6 linked regions of the Macaca mulatta genome follow. The protein of the gene in region 4 interacts with the protein of the main gene of each other region in a pairwise test. Links are inferred from orthologs where the notes say so. Each region holds a gene or a part of one and is shown on either strand. Other genes may lie near its edges.

Evidence for each region. The genes of interacting proteins can lie anywhere in the genome.
Region 1: the proteins of PPP1R18 (region 4) and KASH5 interact in binary tests that used the Homo sapiens proteins (3 or more experiments, as listed by UniProt). The two-hybrid records come from large-scale screens. The link is inferred for Macaca mulatta from reciprocal best matches to the Homo sapiens genes PPP1R18 and KASH5.
Region 2: the proteins of PPP1R18 (region 4) and STX11 interact in binary tests that used the Homo sapiens proteins (3 or more experiments, as listed by UniProt). The two-hybrid records come from large-scale screens. The link is inferred for Macaca mulatta from reciprocal best matches to the Homo sapiens genes PPP1R18 and STX11.
Region 3: the proteins of PPP1R18 (region 4) and CARD9 interact in binary tests that used the Homo sapiens proteins (3 or more experiments, as listed by UniProt). The two-hybrid records come from large-scale screens. The link is inferred for Macaca mulatta from reciprocal best matches to the Homo sapiens genes PPP1R18 and CARD9.
Region 5: the proteins of PPP1R18 (region 4) and FSD2 interact in binary tests that used the Homo sapiens proteins (3 or more experiments, as listed by UniProt). The two-hybrid records come from large-scale screens. The link is inferred for Macaca mulatta from reciprocal best matches to the Homo sapiens genes PPP1R18 and FSD2.
Region 6: the proteins of PPP1R18 (region 4) and CCDC102B interact in binary tests that used the Homo sapiens proteins (3 or more experiments, as listed by UniProt). The two-hybrid records come from large-scale screens. The link is inferred for Macaca mulatta from reciprocal best matches to the Homo sapiens genes PPP1R18 and CCDC102B.

What each region holds. Positions count from the first base shown.
Region 1 is NC_133424.1:61,819,352-61,823,397, reverse strand, and holds the start of KASH5 (protein KASH5), read right to left. Parts: upstream 2,801-4,046; 5' UTR 2,680-2,800; coding exon 2,598-2,679; intron 2,483-2,597; coding exon 2,378-2,482; intron 1,854-2,377; coding exon 1,667-1,853; intron 1,193-1,666; coding exon 1,128-1,192; intron 1-1,127. UniProt on the Homo sapiens protein: As a component of the LINC (LInker of Nucleoskeleton and Cytoskeleton) complex, involved in the connection between the nuclear lamina and the cytoskeleton.
Region 2 is NC_133409.1:49,411,134-49,415,169, forward strand, and holds the start of STX11 (syntaxin-11), read left to right. Parts: upstream 1-1,236; 5' UTR 1,237-1,331; intron 1,332-1,756; exon of another isoform or gene 1,757-2,063; intron 2,064-4,036. UniProt on the Homo sapiens protein: SNARE that acts to regulate protein transport between late endosomes and the trans-Golgi network.
Region 3 is NC_133420.1:6,136,435-6,140,506, reverse strand, and holds the start of CARD9 (caspase recruitment domain-containing protein 9), read right to left. Parts: upstream 2,801-4,072; 5' UTR 2,728-2,800; coding exon 2,317-2,727; intron 1,805-2,316; exon of another isoform or gene 1,723-1,804; intron 1,151-1,722; exon of another isoform or gene 1,003-1,150; coding exon of another isoform or gene 850-1,002; coding exon 651-849; intron 214-650; coding exon 76-213; intron 1-75. UniProt on the Homo sapiens protein: Adapter protein that plays a key role in innate immune response against fungi by forming signaling complexes downstream of C-type lectin receptors.
Region 4 is NC_133409.1:152,366,911-152,370,054, reverse strand, and holds the end of PPP1R18 (phostensin), read right to left. Parts: intron 2,644-3,144; coding exon 2,433-2,643; intron 521-2,432; coding exon 501-520; downstream 1-500.
Region 5 is NC_133412.1:73,933,326-73,937,568, reverse strand, and holds the start of FSD2 (fibronectin type III and SPRY domain-containing protein 2), read right to left. Parts: upstream 2,801-4,243; 5' UTR 2,531-2,800; coding exon of another isoform or gene 1,919-2,530; 5' UTR 1,682-1,918; intron 1,350-1,681; exon of another isoform or gene 41-1,349; intron 1-40. Other genes in the region: WHAMM (WASP homolog-associated protein with actin, membranes and microtubules), read left to right, coding at 1,919-2,530.
Region 6 is NC_133423.1:11,949,062-11,953,271, reverse strand, and holds the start of CCDC102B (coiled-coil domain-containing protein 102B), read left to right. Parts: upstream 1-1,410; 5' UTR 1,411-1,488; intron 1,489-4,210. UniProt on the Homo sapiens protein: During interphase, forms fibers at the proximal ends of centrioles to maintain centrosome cohesion. During mitosis, dissociates from the centrosome following phosphorylation to allow centrosome separation. Contributes to CROCC/rootletin filament formation.

The DNA.
Region 1 (4,046 bases), on a different chromosome or scaffold from region 4:
CCTGAGAAGCTGGGACTACAGGCCCCGCCACCTCACCTGGCTAATTTTTTGTATTTTTAGTAGAGACGGGGTTTCACCATGTTAGCCAGGATGGTCTCAATCTCCTGACCTCGTGATCTGCCCGCCTCGGCCTCCCAAAGTGCTGGGATTACAGGAGTGAGCCACCGCACCCGGTCCATGACCACTTTTTTATGAAGCACCTCCTATGTGTGAGGTCCTGGGGATATAATGGTGAGCAAACCAGCCAACTAAACCCAGGCACCGGTGGCTAACTAGATAATCAGATTTCCTTTGCAGGTAGATGTTCCAATGGAAAGGCCTACAAGTCTAGGAGTGAGCATGGGAAGCAGGGAACTCTAGCCAGGGGCATACCAGGGCTTCCCCTTTGCCAGAGGTGTGAAGGATAACGGCCTGGAGCGGTGGCTCACGCCTGTAATCCCAGCACTTTGGGAGGCTGAGGCAGGTGGATCACCTGAGGTTGGGAGTTCGAGACCAGCCTGACCAACATGGAGAAACCTCGTCTCTATGAAAAATACAAAATTAGCTGGGCGTGGTGGCGCATGCCTGTAATCCTAGCTACTCGGAAGGCTGAGGCAGGAGAATCGCTTGAACCCAGGAGGCGGAGGTGGCGGTGAGCTGAGATCGCGTCATTGCACTCCAGCCTGGGCAACAAGAGCGAAACTCTATCTCAAAAAAAAAAAAAAAAAAAAAAAGGCTAGGGGGTTGGGGAGTGAGGAATGGAGGGGAACAGCCTGAGCAAGGGCCTGTGCTGGGCAGAAGTGGGGCACATTCGAGGAAGGGCAGCAAGACCAGTGGGCCTGCGAATGCCTGGACTAGAGTGAGGAGGGGGTGATGTTAATGATGATGGAGCAGAGGTAGGTGGGGCCTTGTAGGCCTCTCTGATAGGGCTGGTGTGAGGAGGAAGAGTTGGAAACCATCCTCTGAAGAAAAAAACCCCAAAGCTCAGGGAAGGAAGGGACGGAGGACCTAGAAAGTCACACTCACAGCTCTAGGCTACAGTAAAGGTCCCTGGTTCCCACCCTATCCCTTGCTCTGCCCTGAGTGGTAAGTTCCCACACTGTCTGACCCAGGGCCTGCCTGCTTCATTCTATATATAGCAATCTCACCAGATGGCAGTTGCTGGGAGGTCAGGGCTCCCTCGAAGGCGGTCTCCTCTTCCAGCTCTAATCCCCTGTATCAAAGGGATGAGGCTTAGAGCCCCACTGTAGCCGCCCCTCAGTCCTCACCAGCCACAGGCAGGGGGATTGCAGGTGGGAGGAGGGGACCGGGTCAGGTGAAAGCTGGCACCACAGGGTAGGAGGGTGAGGCCAGATGGCAAGTGCCTGCGGCCAGATGGAAAAGCAGGAGGGGCAAGGAGTGGGTTGGGTGAAGGGATGGCGAGGGACCTCTGCCAGCCCCAAGCCCCTCCCTTCTCCAGCCCCATTTTATTTGTCTCCCAGACCCCCTCTGCCTCCTCATCCAAATTATTTTGTCCTCAGACTCCCTATCTACCCCCTCTGAATCCCATCTCTTCATTTTTCTCTCCACAGCCTCGTTCCAAACACAGTAGGTCCTTGGGCCTAAAGGATGCTGGCTCCAGTAAGCAGGTATGAGGTTAGATCTTAGGAAGGACTTCCCAGAGGAGAATGAAGGTGTGGGGACTCACCCGTGTAGTTGACAGGCAGCAATCCAATCACGCATGACAACCAGGAAAGTGTCCAAGTCCACAGTGGCGTTAGGGCCCTCCCCATTGGGGTCCAGGCTGTTGGCCAATGTTTGGAGGCGTGCATCCTGGGGGCCCTGGCCTGTCACCGCCTCCAGGTAGGCCAGCACCTGGGTCACAGCCACAGTGCCTGGGACAGAGCATGCAGTGAGGGGGTCTGGGGCAAGTGGGGAGTGGTGGGTATGGACTGGCAGCAGCTTGGGAGCAGGATGTCACTGGCTAGGCTGGTGGCACTCCTGCTCCATAGCCCAGTGGAGACACACTGGGCAAGCCCTTTCCCCTCCTCTGAGTCTACTTTTTCACCTGGAAATGGGGCCCAGTCATCCCCCTATCACAAGGTGAACCAAAGGGGATGGACATGGGGACAGCACCAGCCATGCCCCACTCCACCATGGTGGCTGCCTCCCTCCCCCATCCCACGACCCCAAAACTCTACCCTCTTCCATCAATGTCCCCCAGGTTTTCCTCATTCTAAAAGGCCTTCACTCTGTTATCCACTTTCTTCTTCCTGAAGCTTCCCAAAATCACCTACTTTGTTCCTGCAATACCCCCAAGAGGGGCCCTAGCCCAGTCTTCTCCCTGAGGCTCCCCAGTTCCCAGCCTCCACCCCTCTCCCGCCCGCGCTGGTCCCTAGCACCCCTCCTGCCCCACCACCTGTCCTCTGAGGGTCACAAGCTTCGAATGTGGAGTTGAGTATTTGCTCCTCCAAGCTGACCGGCATCCCCAGCCTTGTCTCCTCAGGCTGCTCCCAGAGGTACACTGGGGAGACAAGAGGGTTCAGCTCACCAGTGAGAAGAATGAGGAAGGAAGAGGGGTGACCCCAGGTCCTCAGCCTCCTGGGCTCTGCAGAGGGGAGGGAATTCACTCAGAGCACCTAGAGTTAGGGCCAGCGGGGAACAGCAGGAAGCTTCAGGAGGGGGCAACAACGTAAGGGTCTCTGAGTTTCTTCCCCCCATCTTTCAGACCAGGAAGTCCCCCCGGCTGTCTTTTTGTGTCCAATTGGCTTAGGAGCCCAGAGAAGGACACTCTGAGATCACCCTTTCCTCCTCTCCTCTCCAGCCTCCCAGGCTGGACTCAGAAAAGGACAGGGCGGGGGAGGGCAAAGAAGAGAGGATTCTGGGAGGAGCTGAGAGTGAAGGGGGGCCCAGGAGCCAGGAACAATCCAATAATGCGTGGGCAGCCCAGATCGATCCCGCCTGCTGCATCTCCGGTCTCCCAGCCCACCCTGGGGACCAGGTCTCTCTCCTCCCTGCATCCCTAAGGCGAGGCTGGCATCATTGGAGCCCATGGCCGGGGGCTGAGACATGAAGGGATGGGGTAAACCAGGCAGGGTGGGCAGTGAGGGAATGGCTATGAGCTGGATCAAACCATATGCGTGTGTCACATAGACCTGGGTGCAGAGTCCAGCTGCACATCTGTGGGCAAGTCTGTTCTCTCAGAACCTCAGTTTCCCTACTGGTAAAATGGGGGGTGGGTGGGTAGAGTGATCCTCCTCACCAGGGCTGAGTTAGCTCTGTGTATGTGAAGCACACATGTGTACACACACACACACACACGTCCTGGGGTTTATTTGTCTACTGTTGTAGCCACAACACCTGCACATAGTGGGTGCTCAACAAATGCTCCATGACATAGGAAGAGATCCTCAACTGCAGAAGCCACTGGGACTGGCCCAGCCTCCCTCCCAGGGCTGGAAGTGACCTTCTAGGCTCCCTGCCCTGGCCTTGAACAGCTGGGTGCAGCAGCTCACTGAGCACAGGCTGCAGGACTGGGTAGATCCAAGGGGTAACTAAGGCTTGGCCTCAGACAAGTGGCGGCACTTGGGGCAATGGACTCAACTTCTCTTGGGCCTCGGTTTCTTCCTCTGGAAAATGGGGTTGGTGTTACCTCTTTCCTAGAGAGAAAATGAGATAAAATCTAGAAGGGCTTTGGCAGAGGGCCTGGCATGTGGTGGGGACTCAAGAATAGAATTGAACACTTATTGAGCATTTAGTAGGTGCCTGGCCTTTTCTGGGCACTTTACATGAACTGTCTAGTAGCATATTAATAATCGATGCTATTATAATCCCTACTTTACAAATGAGGGGACCAAAGCATAGAGAAACTAAGAACTCAGCAAAGGTCACCCTGTTTAACATATGAGTCAACTTTCTCATCCCTCTAGCTCTTCCTGGGTTCTTCGCAGTGCATGACATTTACATTCCCTCTGGCTTGAACCCACGCTCCTAGGTTTGGCCCTTGGGAAGGGGCGTGTGAACTCACAGTTAGGGAAGACCAGGGCTTTAGCCCCAGTCTGTTTTCCTCCTCTCGCTGTCTTTTTTTC
Region 2 (4,036 bases), about 100 Mb from region 4:
TCCATCTTTGGCAACTGGGAGCTCTTTCAGGTGGTTCCTGTGTTTAAACATTCTCCCATCAAGACAGGATTCGTTTATTTTTATTTTTTATTTTTTTTCTTCTCATTCAATTGAGGCAGCGTCTCATTCTGTCGCCCAGGCTGGAGTGCAGTGGCGCGATCTCGGCTCACTGCATCCTTGGCCTCCCGGCCTCAAGTGATCCTCCCACCTTAGCCTCCCGCGTAGCTGGGCTCACAGCGCGTGCCACCACGCCCAGTTAATTTTTTTTTATTTTTTGTAGAGATAGGCTTTCACCATATTGCTCTGGCTGGTCTCAAATTTCTGGGCTCAAGAGATCCGCCCCCTTCGGCCTCCCAAAGTGTTAGGATTACGGGCATGAGCTACCGCGCCCGGCCCGATTTTTCCTTTCTTGAGTATCACTTCCTTACTTTTCAGCCTCAGCCTTGTTTTTCAAGGTGCTTTACCATCACCTGACACAATCCACACTTTATGTTTATCTCTCCCCGTTAAAGTGCCGGGACCTGGAGGGAGGGTCTTGGCAGTGTTTTTGAGCGCGGTGTTATCCTGGGAATACAAGGGGCCGCTCAGTTGATATCCAGGGAATGATGAGCCTGGCGGGTGTTGAGGCCGACTGGAGATGGGTTGGCCGGCCGGGTTCTGGGAAGGCTGTGCTCGGCCTCTGTGTGACCGCAGGCTCCTCGCCCGCCTCCTCGAGGGTCCCGCGGATGCAGGACCTGCTGCAGCCTCCGCAGCCACACCCACGCTCAGAGACCGCTTCCAGCGTCCTTGCCGCAGAAACGCACCGGACTGCAAATGTCACCGGCGCAGCGGGGATTCCCGGGGAAAGTCCATCGCACTCCCTGACCTGGGGACCAGAGGATGAGCGGAGGAAGTGTCTTGGGCGGCTAACATCCCACTCCCTGCGCCGGTCTGCGCCGCCCCCGGGAACGCCCCGGGGCTCGCGGGAGGGGCTGGAGCGAGTCCCCGGCTCCGGGCGGTCCCGAGCGCACGGACTCCGGGTGGGGCGGGAACCCGTGCTCTGTGAGCCGGCTGCTGCCGCGCCCCGGCGCTGTCATCCCGGGGCGGGGCCTGGTCCCCAGCTGTGGTAGCTTCCTAAGCGGCGGGGGCTGAGCCGGCGGCGCCCAGATGCGGCCGCGGCGGCGCGGAGCTCGGGCGGCTGTGGAGGAGCCCAGCCTCGGCCGCAGGAGGCGCCGGGAGCAGAGCCGCCGGGAGTCGCGCAACAGGTTTCCTTCCCCATCGCGGCGCCCACAGGGGACGCGCGCCCTGCGGGGAGAGAGGCTTCTCAGTTCGCGCTCTCGTTCCGGGTCCAGGTTTGTTTTTCTCTCCCTGAGCCCCCATTTCTCTTTCTGACCCCCCATTTCTCTTCCTGACCCCCCATTTCTCTTCCTGACTATTCCCCGTGCGCTGAGAGATCCGGGAGGCGGGCGGGGGCACTGTCTGGGCTCGGGACCCGCGGCTGCGCCTTAGTTGGGATTTTGGATCTGGCGCAGGTCCTCACGCCGCCTCTGGGCACCTTCGGAAACACAGGATTGGGTTCCTCATATAAAGCGGAATGATTTTTTAAAATTACTTTTAATTTCAGAGGCTGAGGGATTTAGGATTTAGTGCTTCACAGGAATTATTTTAGGGATACCTGTCGGTAGGCTGCCTTTTTAAAGTGTCCACCTAAGACTATTTTATTTTAAATCGAAAGACTGAAGTGTTTTTGTGTTATCACCTCTTCACTTCCTATTAGGGTGACTGTGTCAAAAACACCAGAATGGGTACTTCTTGACTTGAACTTGGCAGTGTCACTCAGTAGCCAAGAAAGACGGAGAAATTGATAGAGCCTTGGAGCAGTCCCTTCGCAGCCCACGTAAGACTTTGTTTTAGAAAAATGGAGAGAAGTAGTGGCAATGCCTGCGAGAACCACGCCGTCCTGAGAGGGAATTCTGCCTTTTTCTAGACTCCGCTGACACCAGCTGAGATCTGTATTACTTCCTGTGGTTCTCACGCGCTTGTTTCAGCCGTTTCTCAGCAAAGGGAGGAGCTGTTATTTACAGGTATCCAAAAATGAGTCACAGGGCTGCTCTCTTAATTGTGAGACTTTGTTAATGAACTTTTGAAAAGCGAGGCTTGCTCTGTCTGTATTTAAAATGAGACTGTAGATGTGAAATGCCTGCCCTGCTGACCTGGGGCAGTGGTATGGGAAGTGACGATTGAGTTTTCAGTTTCCTAAGGCGCCTGATGTTACAACATGCCAGTAAAGGTCACTGGGTTGATTTAAGATAACCACTAAAATCATGTGCTTTGCCTCAGAAGCCCAGGAGAAAATTAATTTCATTATTCAATGACCATTTTGCTACCATTTTCACTGAATAGTAGAAATGTATCATTTAATGTGGTGATTGTAACTCTCTAAAATCAAAATATTTCAGACAGTGTGTGTTTACTAAATTGATGCCAAAACCACATGGTGCTTTTTGAAGCGGGTGGGTCCCAGCGGGAGCAGAGAAATTTAAAAGTTGAAGCTGACAGGCCCCACTGTGGTGGGTAGCAGCACCTAGGAAGGGACTGCACACTATCTCAACACGGTAGAGAAGGGAGCACCATCTCTACTGGAGCTGAGTTGAGCTGAATTCAGTCCCAAACAACAGTTAACAGGTACTTTCTCTGTGCCAGCCTCTTCCCTGAACCTTGCTTGTACAACCATGAATAATAGGATCCTGCTGACAAGGTGCTAGGGTAAATCTATACCCAGAGTGAAGTTTCTGTCCCAATATAACTCAATCTGCTGGGTTCCAGTGTATTTAAAGAGTAAACTCAGCAGATTACCATCCCTAGATCATTGCAGTCACCTTTAGTTAGCAGCGTGACTTTTAGGAAATGGTATGACTAATTAATAGGTTGTTTTGTTTTGTTTTTTGAGACAGAGTCTTACTCTCTTGCCCCACACGGGAGTGTAGTGGTGCAATCTTGGCTCACTGCAACCTCCTCCTCCTGCGTTCAAGCAATTCTCGTGTTTCAGCCTTCCAAGTAGCTGGGACTACAGGCACCCACAACACCCAGCTGACTTTTGTATTTGTAGTAGGGACAAGTTTGGCCCTGTTGACCAGGCTGGTCTCGAACTACTGACCTCAGGTGATCTGCTTGCCTTGGCCTCCCAAAGTGCTGGTATTGCAGATGTGAGCCACCATGCCCTGCCTAATACTTTATAAATTTGTAACACTATATTGAAGCAAGTTTTTGATCATTGTTTTTGTAGTTCAAATCAATGTTTTTTAGCACATTATAGCCTTGTGAGCCAAAATGAATAAATCTACCATATCACAGTTTACTGTTACAATTGAAATCTGCTGAGACACTTTTGAACTTGATGCCCAAGTATCAAGGTTTCCAAGTTTCCACAGTTTGCTAAGATATCCAACTAATAAAGGCAACACTGCTAAATTTCAGACAACTTTACCTTAATTTCCAAACTTTATTCCTCCTTTGAAAGCCCTGAAGTTACTTTTTCTATGACAAAGGGTTGAGTGTGTCATTCAGCATTGTACTCCCTGAACTTGTCCCAGGCTCGACTCATGAGAAGTGTTGGAAAGTGTCATTCAGCATTGTACTCCCTGAACTTGTCCCAGGCTCGACTCATGAGAAGTGTTGGAAAGTGTTTATTGATGAAATAATGAACCTTCATGTAGGAGGATGAATTGGCAGGCAAGTGGAAGGCTCAGTGACCCAGCAGAAGGAACAGCACCCATAGAGAAGTGAAACAGCACTGGACATTCAGGAAACTCCAGCCTGTTTAGTGACAGCACAGAGCGAGGGCTGGGGAGACAGGAAGGGCCAGATCACAAAGGCCCCATGAGGGTTTATAGTACTGAGCCCTTTGAACAAGTGAATGATATTGTCAGGTGTGTGTTTAAAAAATTATAACAAAAATTGGAATTTAAAAAATCTTAGATTAGATGACAGTGGCATTGACTTTAGGGAGACACCTTGGAAACTGTTGTCATATTGCAGATGGGACATTAAAGAAGGC
Region 3 (4,072 bases), on a different chromosome or scaffold from region 4:
GCTCCTAGGGATGGGGGCTGGGCAGAGGACCCAGCACCACTGCCCGCCCCCACCACCGCCTTCCCCGTCACTCACCGATGATCATGGAGAAGACACGGGCCGGCTCCTTGCCCGTGACCTTCTTGTACAGCTGTGGGTAATAGAGTTCCAGGCTCTCGAGGAAGGCCACGTAGCCCTTGTGGCCGGTCCGCTGCAGGATGTCCAAGAGCACGCCTGCGGGCCAGAGGGGCCTAACTGGGGGCGGGGCACAGGCGAGGCAGAGGGCTGGGGTGGGTGGGCCCGGGGGCAGGGACAGGTGGAGGCTGGGATGCAGATGAGGTGTGCTGTGGTTTGGGTCGTGGATGAGGCACCCTGTGGGTCTTGGTACTAGGCTGGGGACAAAGTGCTGTCCACCCATCCCTTGGCTGTCTCAGGAGCCCCCGCTGTGGTGGGAGTCCCACTGCCCCTCTTGGCAGCACCGAGCTGGCAGGAGAGGCTGGGGGATAGGGTGGCCATGTGCCAGGGTTGAGGTTGGGCCTCACTGGGAGGCCAGGGGCAAAGCCAGGCGGGGCTCTCCTGGGGTCGAGGGTCAGGGTGGCAGAGCGTGCAGCCACCTCCAAGCGGGCTCCTTGGTTGGGTTTGGGACCTGGGGCCTGCGGGGCAGCACTGACCCACTTTCCGTTTGCGGATGACCAAGTTGGGGTCACTGAGCACCTGCTCCTCATCGTCGGGGTTCAGGACCTTGCACTGCCGCAGGTAGGGCGTGATGCGCGAGGGGTCGATGACCGACGTGAGCATCACCCGGAAGCCCTCCAGGACGCTCCAGCACTCATCATCGTTCTCGTAGTCCGACATGGCCTCGCAGGCAGGCTGGGGGGTGTGGGGCAGCCGCTGAGAGTGACGCCGGCTCCTGCCCCCACCCAGGCCCGGCTCCCGCTCCTTCTCAGACGCTGGGCCAGGGCTCTCGTCAGGGCTGTCGAGGGGGTCAGCCCAGGGGCATCCAGGAGAGGTACCCAGCTCCATGTCCCATCCCCATGCTGGATCCCCCAGGGAGGCGGCAGAGACACAGTGACCCGCTCCCCGCCAGACCAGCCGAGGGCCCCTCCACAGCCTTTCCCAGCCCCTGCTCCTGCCCCTTGGCCATCCGTGTCACCCAGATATGCAGCGGGGGAGACACAGATGGGGTCTGAGAGAGGAACTGCCTCCACGGCATGACTCGCCTCTGGCCTCCGCCTCCTGGACACTCCCACCACGCCCTGGAGCCTACAGGGGCAGCCACCTCCATGGGTGGAGGAGCTGTGGGCACCTGCCTGGCACTACGGCCAGCCCAAGCTGGGTGAGAGCAGGTTGGCCAATGACCCTCCCACTAGGGCAGCAGCTGGGGGAGCCGGTTCTGGCGGAACTTCCCCATTTCCCTGACCGACGCCTGCTCACATCCCGCGCTGTGCCCTCCCTCCTCCATGGCCGGCTGTTGATGATGCAAGAGTGGCCACCCAGCCCTGCCCCAGCTGCCAGGGTCGCTGCACTGGCCGGGAAGAGCTGCCCACAGGAGCGTGCCTCTGTCACTCCCCGCCGGCCCCGCAAGCTGGGAGGGGCTGTCGGTGTTGCCCTTGGCTGGCCAGGAGTGCTGCTGTGCTGTTTTCTCCAGGTTCTTAGGTGACGGGCACCCGTCAATCTCTGGACTCTTCTCCTGCCCCCGATGAGGCCCGACCCCCATCCCACTGGCTGAAACAAGAGAACTACCCATGTTGGGACCAGCCCAGCCACTGCTGTCCCTTTCTGCCAGCACGGTGGAAGCCTCAGCCGCTGAAAGCCACTCCCTCTGGGACTGGGGCAAGGCTGGGAACAGCCACATGGTCCTGCCTCCCACGCAGGTCCCCGGTCCTCAGCCTCCAGCCCCACTGGGAAATGCTGGTTTCCTGCCTAAAGGAGCTGGGTCACTACTCCTGGAGACACTTGGTCTTTTGAAGTGTTTGGTCTTGGTCTTTTGAAGAATTTCTCAACTTCCCACTGTACTTTGTCACCCCATTCAGGACAGTTTTGACAGACAAGGGGCTGAATAGAAACACCGGCCACACAGCGGACAGTCCTGGGAACACTGGGCCCCTTTCCTGCCTCCCCAGCCTGAAATGCAGGGTCCCACCTGCCACCGTAATGCCACTGAAATGAACATGTCTCCGCCCAGTGGCCATGAAAGGGATGGGGCAGCGCGGCGGAGGCTGCCTGGCTGCCTGTGGGAAGCCTCATGCTGCTCTGCGGGGATCAGCGCCAGGATTCTGAACGAAGCCGGCGCCGACCTTCTTGGTCACTTTTCAGAAAAGTACCAGACCCACCCACCTGAGGGTCTTCCAAGGAGCCACCTGCACGGCAGACGCACCAGGAGCCTGGGACGCGGAGCCTCGGGGAGATGCTGCCTGGGGCTGCAGGGAGGGAGGAGCGTGCCGGACGCCTGTGCACTTCCTGATGGCTTAACTCCACAGTCCCGCCAGTCCTCCCACAGGGGGACAGTCCCTGGTGGCCTGCCTTCTGATTCGTGCAGCCCAGGAGGCCCCGAGAGGCAGACGGAAGTGGAAGTCCTCTGCCCTCCACAGGAAAACTGCTCTCAGCCCTCCCAGCCTGGCCGGGGGCCAGGGGTCCTGAGAATGCCCCAGAGGCCCAGCCCGGGCACCTGGCAAGTAGAAGAGACAGCAGAGACCCCCAGGAGGCTGGACGAGGCCAGACCGCACCCAGCCGCTTTGACCTGGTCATAGGTTTCTGGAGGCTTCTTCAGGAGGGCATGCTCTGCCCTGTGCGGACACCCTTGCCCTCGCCGGCATCTCAGGACAGCGGGGCAGGGCATGTGCAGGGGGCACACAGCCACACAGCATGCCCAGCACACGCCTTGGTCATGAAAGGGCTGCAGCCCACCTTATGGAGCCCAGGAGGCCACTGCAGCCTGCCAGGGGCCATGGCACCGGCCACCACCCAGCTGCACACGGGGGAGAAGCGTCCCTTTCAGAAGTGTCGCTCGGTATCATTATCCTTGTCACGAGGCATCCTTGCTCTTCTCCAGGATGCACGTGAGGACTGAGGCCACTCCCAGGGTCCCCCAAACCAGCTTCAGAAGCACCGGTGATGGCAGGGCACAGCCCGCCCCCCATCCACAGACAACGGGCAGCAGGGTCTGCCCTGAACTATGCACTTCAGCGTGGGGCTGCTGGAGCCTCATCCCTGCAGGCTGGGGAGCCCCCAGGCCCCGCCTCACCGGTAAAGCTGGTCGAACCGAGTTGCCACCCAACAGCTTCGAGAAGGGGGCTGCCAGGCTGGAAGGCCAGGAAGCTGGTGCGGAGCTCGCCTAACCGTTCCCAGCCCCCGGCCCTCAGGCCTGACATCACGCAGTGAGGAGTGGAGTTAGGGGTCCTCTGGGGCTCTTGGGAATGCCACACTCCAGGCTGGGCCCCTCACCAGCAGCATGAGCGAGTGTGCAGGCAGGAACGCCGTCCTGGGCCCTGCTGGGGAGTGGGCCCGAGCTGGCACCAGGCCCTCATGACCCAGTGATTCCCCAGCTTGTAAAACGAGGGACCCCAGTGATTTCCCTGTGGTGTCCGTCCTTAGGAATTAACACACATACCATGTTCTCTAACCATGTCGGAAGCTAAAAATCAGTAACAGGTATCTGGAAAATCCCTAAATATTTGGAAATTAAATAATATACCACTAAATAACCCACAGGTCAGAGTGGCCACCAGGAGACTAGGCACCAGTTGCTAGAGAACCAGGCACAGCAACACATGCTCAGGAGCGCGGCCGGCCATGGGACCGTCCTGTCTGCCGGGTGCCGAGGGCTGAGGCCCCACGGTGCTTCCAGTGAGGGAGTGAAACCCAGAGAGCAAAGGGCCTGGGGGCGCTGCTGCCACAGAGACGAAGGAAAGGGAGTGAGGGGACAGACGGAGAAGATGGGGGCTGGTCTTATGCCAAGAAAGGCCCACGCAAAAGGACAGTGAAAGTTGTGGGGGCTGCCATCGTGTCTGGGTAGCCAGGTCACCTGTTCCAGGGAACCCCCTGGGTCAGCTGGGGCGGTGCGAGGGCTGGCAGCCATCTGGGGAGGGTGCCG
Region 4 (3,144 bases):
GAATTTGTAAACCAGGCTGTGGTCAAGGAGGAGGCAGGAGCTGTAAACAAAGGGGCAGTGACCTAGGAAATGAGGGAGATGTGCCTATAAATGGAGTGGGCTCTGGGCCTCGAGAGACATGAGTGCTTAAATCCCAAGAGTCCCCACGGGATGGTGGGGAGGAAGGCTGTGGGGAGAGTGTACCCTGCCATGGAGGGCAGGTGCTCCATCTCCACCCTCCAGGGAGTTCTGTGCTCCTTCTCAGCACTTGGCGCTCACTCTTAGATCACCCAGGATGTACCAGCACGTTTAACCCCACCCACACCAGGGACTTTGGATTAGGGTAGAAATTGGGCAATTGGCTCTGCCCCCAGAAACAGGGTGGGGAAAGCAAGTTACAAGATGTTGGTTGTTGCCCTTCCCTGCCAGGCTCATTATCAGGGTCTGCTGCCCTGAATCTTCCGGGATCCAGGATCTTCAGTTATAAGAAGGAAGGAGGTATATCCCTATGTTGAAGATGGTCACCGCCGGCAGGACTCATCTGTGGGAGAGGGGGCAATAATGACAGAGAATGAGTGAGAGCCTCTGCCTTCTGCCCACCCTTCCCCCACACACAAATTGAAGGGCAGTTGGCATGCAGGAAGTCCTATAATATCTTCCACATCTAAAGCACGTTACCATCAGTAACCACATCCATCACTCATTTAGCTCGGATTTTGTGCCAAGCATCCTCATAACTGTTTAATGTCACCATAACTCCAGGAGAGATTAAGTAATTTGATATCCAGCTGTGGCTCTTGGTGCTTCACAAAAACTACTTAATCTTGGCCTGGAGCCCCTGTAATCTGAGCAATTTAGGAGGCTGAGGCGGGAGGATCACTTGAAGTCAGGAGTTCAAGACCAGCCTGGCCAACATGGGGGAACCCTGTCTCTACTAAAAATATAAAAACTAGCCAGGTGTGATGGTACACATCTGTAATCCCAGCTACTTGAGAGACTGAGGCATGAGAATCGCTTGAACTTGGGAGGCAGAGGTTGCAGTGAGCCAAGATTGTGCCACTGCACTCCAGTCTGGGCGACAGAGGGAGACGCTATCTCAAAATAAATAAATAAATTAATTAATTAAATAAAATAAATTACTTAATCTTTTCTACAACTCTAGGAGGTAGTTTTTGGTTTCTGTTTTTTTGAGACGGAATTTCACTCTGTAGCCCAGGCTGGAGTGCAGTGGCATCATTTCCGCTCACTGCAACCTCTGCTTCCCAGCTTCAAGTGATTCTCCTGCCTCAGACTCCCGAGTAGCAGGGATTGCAGGTGTCCACCTCCATGCCTAGCTAATTTTTGTATTTTTAGTAGAGATGGGTTTTCACTATGTTGGCCAGGCCGGTCTTGAACTTCTGACCTTGAGTGATCCACCTGCCTCAGCCTCCCAAAGTGCTGGAATTACAGGCGTGAGCCACCGTGTCTGGCCTGTTTGTTTCTTTCGAGACAGGGTCTTCCTCTATTGCCCAGGCTGGAGTGCAGTGGGTGGTGCAATATCGGCTCACTGCAGCCTCCAACTTCTGAGGTCAAACGATCCTCCCACCTCAGCCTCCCAAGTAGCTGGAACCACAGCTTTGCACTGCCACGCCTGGCTAATTCTTTTATTTTTATTTATTTATTTTTTTTAGAGATGGAGTCTCGCTCTGTTGTCCAGGCTGGAGTGCAGTGGGGTGATCTCGGCTCACTGCAAGCTCCGCCTCCCAGGTTCACACCATTCTCCTGCCTCAGCCTCCCAAGTAGCTGGGACTACAGGTGCCCACCACCACGCCCGGCTAATTTTTTTTTATTTTTAGTAGAGATGGAGTTTCACCGTGTTAGCCAGGATGGTCTCAGTCTCCTGACTTCATGATCCGCCCGCCTCGGCCTCTCAAAGTGCTGGGATTACAGGCGTGAGCCACCGTGCCTGGCCCACACCGGGATAATTTTTGTATTTTTTTGTAGAGACAGGATTTTGCCATGTTGCCCAGGGTGGTCTTGAACTCCTGGGCTCAAGCGATCCACCCGTCTTGGCTTCCCGAAGTGCTGGGATTACAGGCATGAGCCACAGGAGGTAGTTATTATTAACTTCATTTCATAAATAATAAACTAAAGCCAGATATCGGATGGTTTCCCTGAGATCACACAATTAAGAGACAAGCTGCAATTCCAACTCAGGCCTGTCGACCCACCCTGTGGTTTTGACCAGATTACGGTACTCAGGAAGAGTTCTCGTTTTGAAACTTGAAGACTCAATGTGTACTTCACTGCCCGGGACCTCAGTTTGCCCATCTATTGAAGGAGCAGGTTGGACCAGAGGACCACCAAGCCCCTTCCAAGCGCCTACATGCAATCCTCCCTCCTCTTCTCTCCTGGACCGCAGCGCCAGCTCTGACAGCAGGGGGCGCTCTCGAGCCGGCGGAGCCTCCGCTTACCCACAATCAGGGCCTTGGTGCGCAGCCCGCCCTGGAGCTCTGGCTGCAGCAGCAGCAGCTCTTCCTCATCCTCTTCGTCGTCGGGTTGGGCTGCTGGGGGGTTGGGGGCACTGGGGACCTCAGGCTCCGGGCCCAGCTCCTCCAGTACCGAACTCTCGGAGGGGTATTGGTACGTGGTCTCCAGGGCTGTCTCGCTGAAGGAGATCTTAAGCTGAAGGAGGGAGAAAAAGGGGGCAGGAGGCAAGGTCAGCAGGGGTGAGGCCCGTGGGGGTTGAGGGGGAGAAAGCGGGGGGGCGGGGGGGGGAGTCTGCAAGGGAGCAGGTGGGGCGGGGGAAAGGTGGGGGTGGGGGTTGGACTTAGGCGCCCCCCCTCACTCTCTCCCATCCACTCTGGGATCCAGTTTTCCTTTACACACTGGCTTTCCAATCCCAGAGTTTCCTTCTTCGATCATATAATTTCAAAACATCAGACTTTGCCCTGTAGGTTGGCAGGGGCTTGGGAGGCAGAAGTGAATAACATAAGACCAAGGTCCCTGCTCTTTCGAGTGTGGGAGGCAGAGGGGTAAAAAGAAATTAAAATACGTGGCGATTAGTCTTGTGATCAGAACCGAGTCTTTGGGCACCTTGGAGGCAATAGAGTAAACTTCCCAGAGGAGCCCAGCAGACTGGCCAGTGGGGAAAGAGTAAACTTCCCAGAGGAGCCCAGCAGACTG
Region 5 (4,243 bases), on a different chromosome or scaffold from region 4:
TCTTTCTTTCTTTCTTTCTTTCTTTTTTTTTTTGAGACAGAGTCTCACTGTTTCACCCAGGCTGGAATGCTGTGGTGCAATCTCAGCTCACTGTAACCTCTGCCTCCTGGATTCAAGCAATTCTCATGCCTCAGCCTCCTGAGTAGTTGGGATTATAGTGCATGCACCACCATACCTGGCTAACATTTTTTTTTTTTTTTTTTTGTATTTTAAGTAGAGACGGGGTTTGGCCATGTTGGCCAGGCTGGTCTCAAACTCCTGACTTCAAGTGATCCACCCACCTCGGCCTCTAAAAGTGCTGGGATTACAGGTGTGAGCCACTGCACCCAGCCACCCACGACACTTTATAATGAGAAAGACTGACAATTTCCTCTTGAAAAACCAAATAGATTAGAAAACTAATAGAAATGATAACACAGTATAAAACAGATAGTAAAAAGATACAATGTGAGGAATATACAAGAAAGATATTTAAAACAGACTGTTAAAAATCATAAGTAAATCATATTAGTTAAAACAGTATATTAAAAGTAGGGGAAAATCAATCACTTCAGCTAAAAGGTTATCTCTCCAAGAAGACTGAGTGACTGTGTCCCAGGGCCCAATCCCCAACCCTCACACTTGCAGCAGGCATAAAAGGGGAAGGACCTTCAGACAAAGGCACCTTTCCACCTTCAAGCTGCATTCCACAGAGGTTCCTAGATTTCTTGAGGTCATTTTCAAGGCAGAGAGATGTCCTAACTAGAGCTTTAGCTTGGCCCTGATTTTTTTGTTTGCTTATTGTTTACCCTTGGGGACAACAGCAAGTACAAAATCTGATTCCAGTTTTTCCCAGCTCAAAACCTTCACACACGCTTTCACTTGTTCCCGAATCAACACCTCACAGGCCTTGCTTTGGCAAAGGGCTCCTGATCCCAGCTTCCTGGCATCTGCCTCCTTTCCTCCCCCCATTACCACCACCTGTCTCAGTGCACTCCCAGGATGGGAGCGGACATGGACTGTATTTCTCAGTCTACACTGCACATTTCCTAGGCAGAGAGTAGGGCCGTCTTGGTCCTTGATGCAAGAACAGATCTAGCTCCACCCTGACATGTAAACTGGATTTCCTGGTATCTCCTTAAACAGGCCTTCAGTAGCCAGGTGGTCATGTCGAGCCCGAGTGTCGGTGTATCTTAAGTTTGTCTGGGCCTCTGTTTCCTTAACTCTAAAGTGAAGAGTTAGAACACAGATTGTATTTAAACACCCTGGTTGGGAGCTGCAGTGCCCTGAATTCCTCCTCTTACTCCACCCCCTCAATACCGACACACAGCCGACACTCAATAAAAGTTTGTTGAATTGACAAAAATAAATTTGTGGCTTCTTGCCCAGTACTTGGCACTTAGAGGCCCTCAATAAATGACTATCGAGTTTATGTTTCATCTCCCCAGCACATTTGTGACATTCTTGAGGGCGGGAACCATGTACTCAATAGGGCCCTGATGATAGAAAAGGAAATCAGCTTGGTCCCTGTTCTCAAGAAGTTCACAGTTTAGTGTGGGAGACTAAGACAACAAGTCGCCGATTCAACAGATATTTTTCCAACGTCCTTATGTATTGGGTGGAAAAGGTGAGGCAAGAGCTGTATTTCCCAGACTCCTGAATGGGTTGCGAGATGATTGACTCCTGAGGGACACCGTCTCACCTTTTCATTGGTTGTCGCTGGCCCTGTCGTCTATCACCCAACCAACCCCGAACACCTCTTGTAAGCCCCACCTCCGGGTCAGCCAATTAGAGGTGCCGGGGGCCAGGGCGCTGCTGGGTCACTGACGCGGTTTCGATTCCAGTGAAAAATGCTCGGGTTCGGACTGTCCCGTGACAGGCGGTGCGAGCAGGCCAGGCCCTCGCCCGCCGAGCCCTAGGACCGCTGCTGCCGACTGCCATGGAAGACGAGCAGCCCGACAGCTTAGAGGGCTGGGTGCCTGTCCGGGAGGGCCTCTTCGCCGAGCCCGAGAGGCACCGGCTGCGCTTCCTGGTGGCTTGGAACGAAGCGGAGGGCAAGTTCGCTGTGACTTGTCACGACCGCACCGCGCAGCAGCGACGGCGGCGCGAGGGGGCCCGGCTGGGGCCCGAGCCCGAGCCCAAGCCCGAGGCAGCCGTGTCCCCGCCCAGCTGGGCAGGCCTGCTCTCGGCCGCAGGGCTCCGCGGCGCGCACCGGCAGCTGGCGGCGCTGTGGCCGCCTCTGGAGCGCTGCTTCCCGCGGCTGCCGCCGGAGTTGGATGTGGGCGGCGGCGGCGGGGCCTGGGGTCTGGGGCTCGGGCTGTGGGCTTTGCTGTGGCCGGCGCGCGCGGACCCCGGCGAGGCGGCGCTGCAGGAGCTGTGCGGGCAGCTGGAGCGCTACCTGGGCGCGGCGGCCGACGGCTGCGGCGGCGCCACAGTGCGCGACGCGCTCTTCCCGGCTGAGGGCGGCGCGGCCGACTGCGAGAGCCCGTGCGAGTTCCGGGAGCGGGCCTTGCGCGCGCGGTGGGTCGAGGTGGACGCGCGGCTGCGCCAGGTAAGAGAGGCCGGGCCGCCGGCGTTCGTCCCCGCTTCCATGGCCTGGGACCCTGTGGGAGGCTCCCCCGGCGCCGAGAGCCCTGGCTGACGGCTGACGGGGAGGAGCCGGCGGGCGGAGAAGGCCGTGGGCTCCCCGGTGCCCTCACCTGCGCGGGACCGCTGCGGGAAACCGGCGGTAGCTCCGGGAGGGCCTGCAGAGAGGACAAGCGAAGTTAGAGCCTAGTGTACTTGCAGCTGGGAGCTGGGCTAGGCCCCCAACCTTTGCCCTGAAGATGCTGGCAGAGCAGGATGTTGCAACGGGAAATGCCAGAAATATGCAAGCAAAACTGAAAACAACCCATCCATGTAGGAAAGAATAACACGGACTAAATGTAAGCAATTCTAAGTCTGTGTATGAGGGAACGTCGCGAATGGGATAGAAGAAATGGCTTTTAGGAGATAGAGTGTTTTGTTTTAAGTAATATATACTTAGTCAAATGGAAAGCCAGCAGAAAGTGAACTTTATTCATCAGTTTGGAATAACCGCATTAGTGCCCTTTTAAGCTTGAAAGAGGTAGTTTGAGAGAGAGTAATTATTTGAGTGGTAAACCTACTGAACCTAAGGGGATGGGGAAGTACAAGTTCATAGAAGGGTTTAGGAGAAAATATGGCTTCTAAATCCACACTCACAGTTTACTAAGGAGAGTCAGGCTGGAGTCTCGGCTCACTGCTGTTATTAACCTGAATGGTTTTTTTCTGTGCATTCTTTTGAGGAAGGGGAGGTGAAGAGAAGAATTCAGCCTAAGCTAAATATAGAATAAGCTTTCTAAATTAAAATGATTTTATAAAAGGAGCTCGTTAGTGGGGTCATTTTTGTACTGTGGGTTTTATGTGTAAATATCTACACACCCACTTCTCATGTGTTGATTTCACTTTATGAGGAAGCCACAGGGGAGTTTCAGGCCAGTCAGCGTTTGATCTTCAACTTTATCATTTTCACCTTAGGATATGAGGTGAAAAATGGTATCATTTTGAATCAGACTTGTTTTTTACCCACTCGGTTTCTCACAGAGATAGGTGGTTTCTCCTTAAAATCGAACATTTATATGATGTATTTTACTGTAGTTACTATCAGAAAAGTTATAGTTTTCCCAAATTTAAGTTCACTCTGGGGTACTATAGCATGAATGTAGTTCATACTGTTGAGCTAGCTGTTCACATTAGTGTAGTTCACGTATTTATTTGGAACTTAAAAATGAGGGGTTGGGAGGGGAAGAAGCTTCAATTCAAAACATGTCCAAATATATAATTTTAATATTTATATTTAGAATAGAAAAGCAATTGATTCTAGAATTAGATCAATTGCTAGTATTGCTAGGATATATAAAATGAAGCTGAATGTTTTAACTCTGAAAGTTTTCTGAGTAGTCTAAGAAATAAGGCTGAAATGCATCACTTGCCTTAAGTTTACTTTTGCGTGTGTCTTAATTTTGTGCAGCGAGGCTTTCACTTAAAAAAAAATAATAATAATATTATTACCTGGATAAAAAACTACAGCTGAAAGTAGATCACTTTCTCCTTAAGCAGAAGGATGGAAATAGAAGAATTTAAGAATGTATTAGTTGAAAAAAATCTATATTATTTGATTTTATTTCTCTTCTTGCGGGAGTAAAATAATTTACTACCAAGTGAGTCCACCTAGATTATACACTGTTCAGTTTATTTTCTGCCT
Region 6 (4,210 bases), on a different chromosome or scaffold from region 4:
ATTTTAAATATATATATGTATACTCACGATTCATCTAAATCTTCTACAAATCCTTTACAGACGACCATATCAAGTAAAACAACTGGAAAAAAAAAAAAAGACAAAACGTACACAATAAATGCTGATTATTTGGCTCATACTGTATAAGCTTAGTCATCTTTGAGGTGTTTTTGACCTTTTACAACCTACCAAAAAATTCATCACTGATACATCCCAGGGTGCAAATGATGCAAAAGCAAAAGTAGTTCATCCATTTAATAAATAGTCTGTATGCAACCACATGGTGACCGGCCAAGTTCTAGGTAAGCCAATAAAGCTAATATACACAGTTCCTTTTTCCTCATTTTCACTCTCATCTTACTTCTCCTTTTTACCATTCCATCTTTTTGGAATATAGACAGCATTCTTCTATACTTCTTTTGCTTTAATAGCAATTATCTCTTCAGTAAAAACTCCAAATGTCATTCAAAATATTTACCCCCAAATAGAAAGAAAGTCGAGCTGTAACTCTAATACTTATTACACGGCCGTGTCTGACACAGAGTGGATTCTAAAAGGTTAAGTGAGCGGACCCCAGTGAGAATGAGGGCACTCCGTGCTGACGGGAGGCAGCTGAGAACCGCTGACACACACTCAGGTCCTTTTCACACCGCACAATCCCGGCGGCCTGACCCTGATCTGTCCTCGACCACCCTCTCTGAGCACTGGTGGTAAAAACCCTTAAACATAACAAGACTCGGAACCTAAAGTCAAGACAAGATCTGGTCGTTAAGGTGGGACGGCGGCATCCTTCTTGCCCATCAAAGGAGTAAGCTTTACTGAAACTTCCTGCCACAATGAGAAAAACACAAACACAAGGCAGCGCGCCCTTCCCACGTCCAGCACTGGTCCCGCACAGCAGCGGCGGAAGGACCCTCAGGTGTCCGCTCCTTCACGGCCAGGCAGGGCGGTGGGGCGGGGACGGCAGGACGCTGCCGGGGACCGGGTGGGCATCTCCGCGGGCCCCGCAGGCCTCGCCCCAGACCCGAGCCCAATCCCGGCCCCACGGCGGGGCCAGGTTCCGACCGCTGCGCGCCCATTACCTGTGGCGCAGAGCCGCAGAGCGGCCCAACTCCTCCACGCTGCCATGCCAGCCAGGGAGAGCTGCAGAAGCTGACTCTGTGCAAAAGAGGGATAAAGACACTGGGGTTCGCTGCCTGCCCGCCCGGAAAGGGAAGCAGACCCCACCCGGAGCGGAAGAGAAGCACCGCGCTCAATACGGGGGCGGGACTAGCCGGCCTCGTTAACCTCCCAGCACCCGGCTGGTCTCTAATTCTGGCTATGAGGGGGAGTACGGCGCCTGCGCGAGGAGGGTAGCGCCTGCGCAGTCGTGTTCTTAAGAATGCTTTGCGCCCCCGGCGCCCCGCCCAGCCCAGGAGCGTGGGAACCCTGCTTAAGGGCTTTACTAGGGACAACGGTGGTTGTTCACTGGGGCGAGTTTCTGGGAAGGTGAGTACCGGTGAAAGTTACGCTGAGGGTGAGGTAGGCTCCGACGACGCAGTTGCAGGTTGAATATTGGCACATCATTTACTTGCTACTCCCATGCAGTAAATGCACCTGTGGGTTTTGATGCTGGATCAAATTCCTGGAAAGAGGCGCGCATTAAGACTGTGGATTGCTGAGCTGCGCGACACTCCGTATTTTTCCAAAACGTACTTGTAATATTCTTTCAACCTGTTTGCATAATGGGACATCTCTTAAATGCAGCAAGCTTTAATGCATTTTTGCCAAAGTAAGGATTGCCTCTTTAAAAACTTTCTCTTGAAACTTGAGAACATGAAGTTAAGCGTAGGATATTTTTTGATGACTCTTTTCTGATTATTTTGGGACTAAATAAATAGTATGAAATATTTATATTGCTACCTGTTTTTTCTTCTACACGACAATGATTTGTAAAAACCATATACTTTCATGAGACGGTTACTGCAGCAGTCACTACTTCCGAATTAGATGAAATTTTTATGGGACATAAGGTACCAGAGAATTTAGATCAAACCAAATTTTGAAAACCTATGACAGCAGAAGGGGGATATGATGTCAGCCGGTTCACCTTAGGTTCAAAATTCCAACAGGCCGAAATGTTATAAAACGTTGTTATTCCTAGTGACTGGAAGATTAAATTGCACTGTAATTGAGAGCAAGCCCTAAATGTCACCCCCTTTGTGCATACAGCATGCACAAACGCGAGCCCTCTGCAGATTCAATTTTTCTTTTTGTTTCTCTTTTCTTTTCTTTCTTTTTTTTTTTTTTTTGAAAAAAGTAGACTAAAACGTAAGAGGACAGTTGAAGTGATGGTAATGTTCTCGCGGTGGTGGAACAGCTTTATAATAGTACCATCGCCTCGATACTCTTATACAGAAGCTTTTCTACTTTCTTGGCAAGGTCTCTGAATGACCCATATTCAATTTTTTTTTCATTCTAATGTATTTCAAATTTTTCTGTCTTCCACATCATGCAAAATAAAATAATATCTTTTTATATTTGCGTTACAGTTTAAGTTCACATGTGGAGAACAACGAAAACAGGTTGACCTAGATTTGTGCTCTTCAGTAGTGTAGCCACTAACCATATGTCGCTATTGAGCTTTCGAAATGTGCCTAGTGTGATGAAGTAACTGAATATTTAATTTTAATCTCAGTAAACTCAAAAACTGGCACTTGATTCAGCTATTGGAAAGTTTTTTTAATATGGTTGGAACAACTGAGGTATGTGAATCTACTTTTTCAACTGTAAACTTTATGAAATCTAAATACTGATCAAGTCCCAGGCGTCGGTGGCTCATGCCTGTTATCCCAGCACTTTGGGAGGCTGAGGCAGGAGGATTGCTTGAGGTGAGGAGACTGAGACCAGCCTGGTCAACACAGGGAGACCCCATCTGTACAAAAAATTAAAAAATTAGCCGGATGTGGCCTGGCGCGGTGGCTCACGGCTGTAATCCCAGCACTTTGGGAGGCTGAGGCGGATGGATCACTAGGTCAAGAGATTATGACCATCCTGGCTAACACAGTGAAACCCCATCTCTACTAAGAATACAGAGAATTAGCCAGGCGTGGTGGCAGGCGCCTGTGGTCCCAGCTACTTGGGAGGCTGAGACAGAAGAACGCATGAACCCAGGAGACCGAGCTTGCAGTGAGCCGAGATTGCACCTCTGCACTCCAGCCTGGGCGGCAGAGGGAGATTGTTTCCAAAAAAAAATATCAGCTGGATGTGGTGGCACACACCTGTGGTCCCAGCTACTCCAGAGGCTGAGGTGGGAGGATAAGTTGGGCCAGGGAAGTTGAGGTTGCAGTGAGCTGGGATCCTGCCACTGCCTTCCAGCCTGGCAACAGAGCAAGACCATGTCTCTATAAAATAAATATCAATTAAATATTTCTGATGAAATTAGAGAGGTTGTAACGAGATATACTATAAATGTAAAATATACACTGGATCACTGGATTGGGAAGACAATATAAAACTGTAAAATGTCTCAATATTTTTGTACTGATAATATGTTATAATGATTATAGCTTAGATATGAGTTAATTAAATTATTAAAATTAATCTCACATGTTTTTATTTTTAAGTGTAGCTACTAGAAAATTTATAATTACATATGTGGTTTTGCATTATATTTCCGTTGCACATCACTGATCTAGGCAACGTGAAAATGATCAAAATAATGCATTAATCTGAAAATGATTTAATAAACCAATAAACTTTTTAGGCTTTTTGTTCAGAGAACATGCTAAATTTCCACATGCTAAAACATATTCTGCGGTGAAAATTTTAAGTGTTTTTTTCTGCTTATCTACCTCAAGTGGTGATTTTTTTTTTGAGATTTAAAAGATTCTACTATTTTGACAATATTTTTAAAAAGACTTTCAGATAAGCTACACTTGTACAGGTATATATATATATACCTTGTGTATTTTGCATACATATTGCTGTAGTCTAAATGTGTAACCCAAATTTCATATGTTGAAACTTAATTGCCAATATGATAACATTAAGAGGTGGGGCCATTTGGGCATGATTTAATCATGAGGTGGGACCCTCATGAATGTGATTAGAGACCTTATAAAAGAGATTGAAGGGATTGTCTTAGACCCCTTTTCCCCTTCAACTTTAAGCCATGTGAAAACACAACAAGAAGGTACCATCCTGGAAGCAGAGAGCAAACCCTTATCAG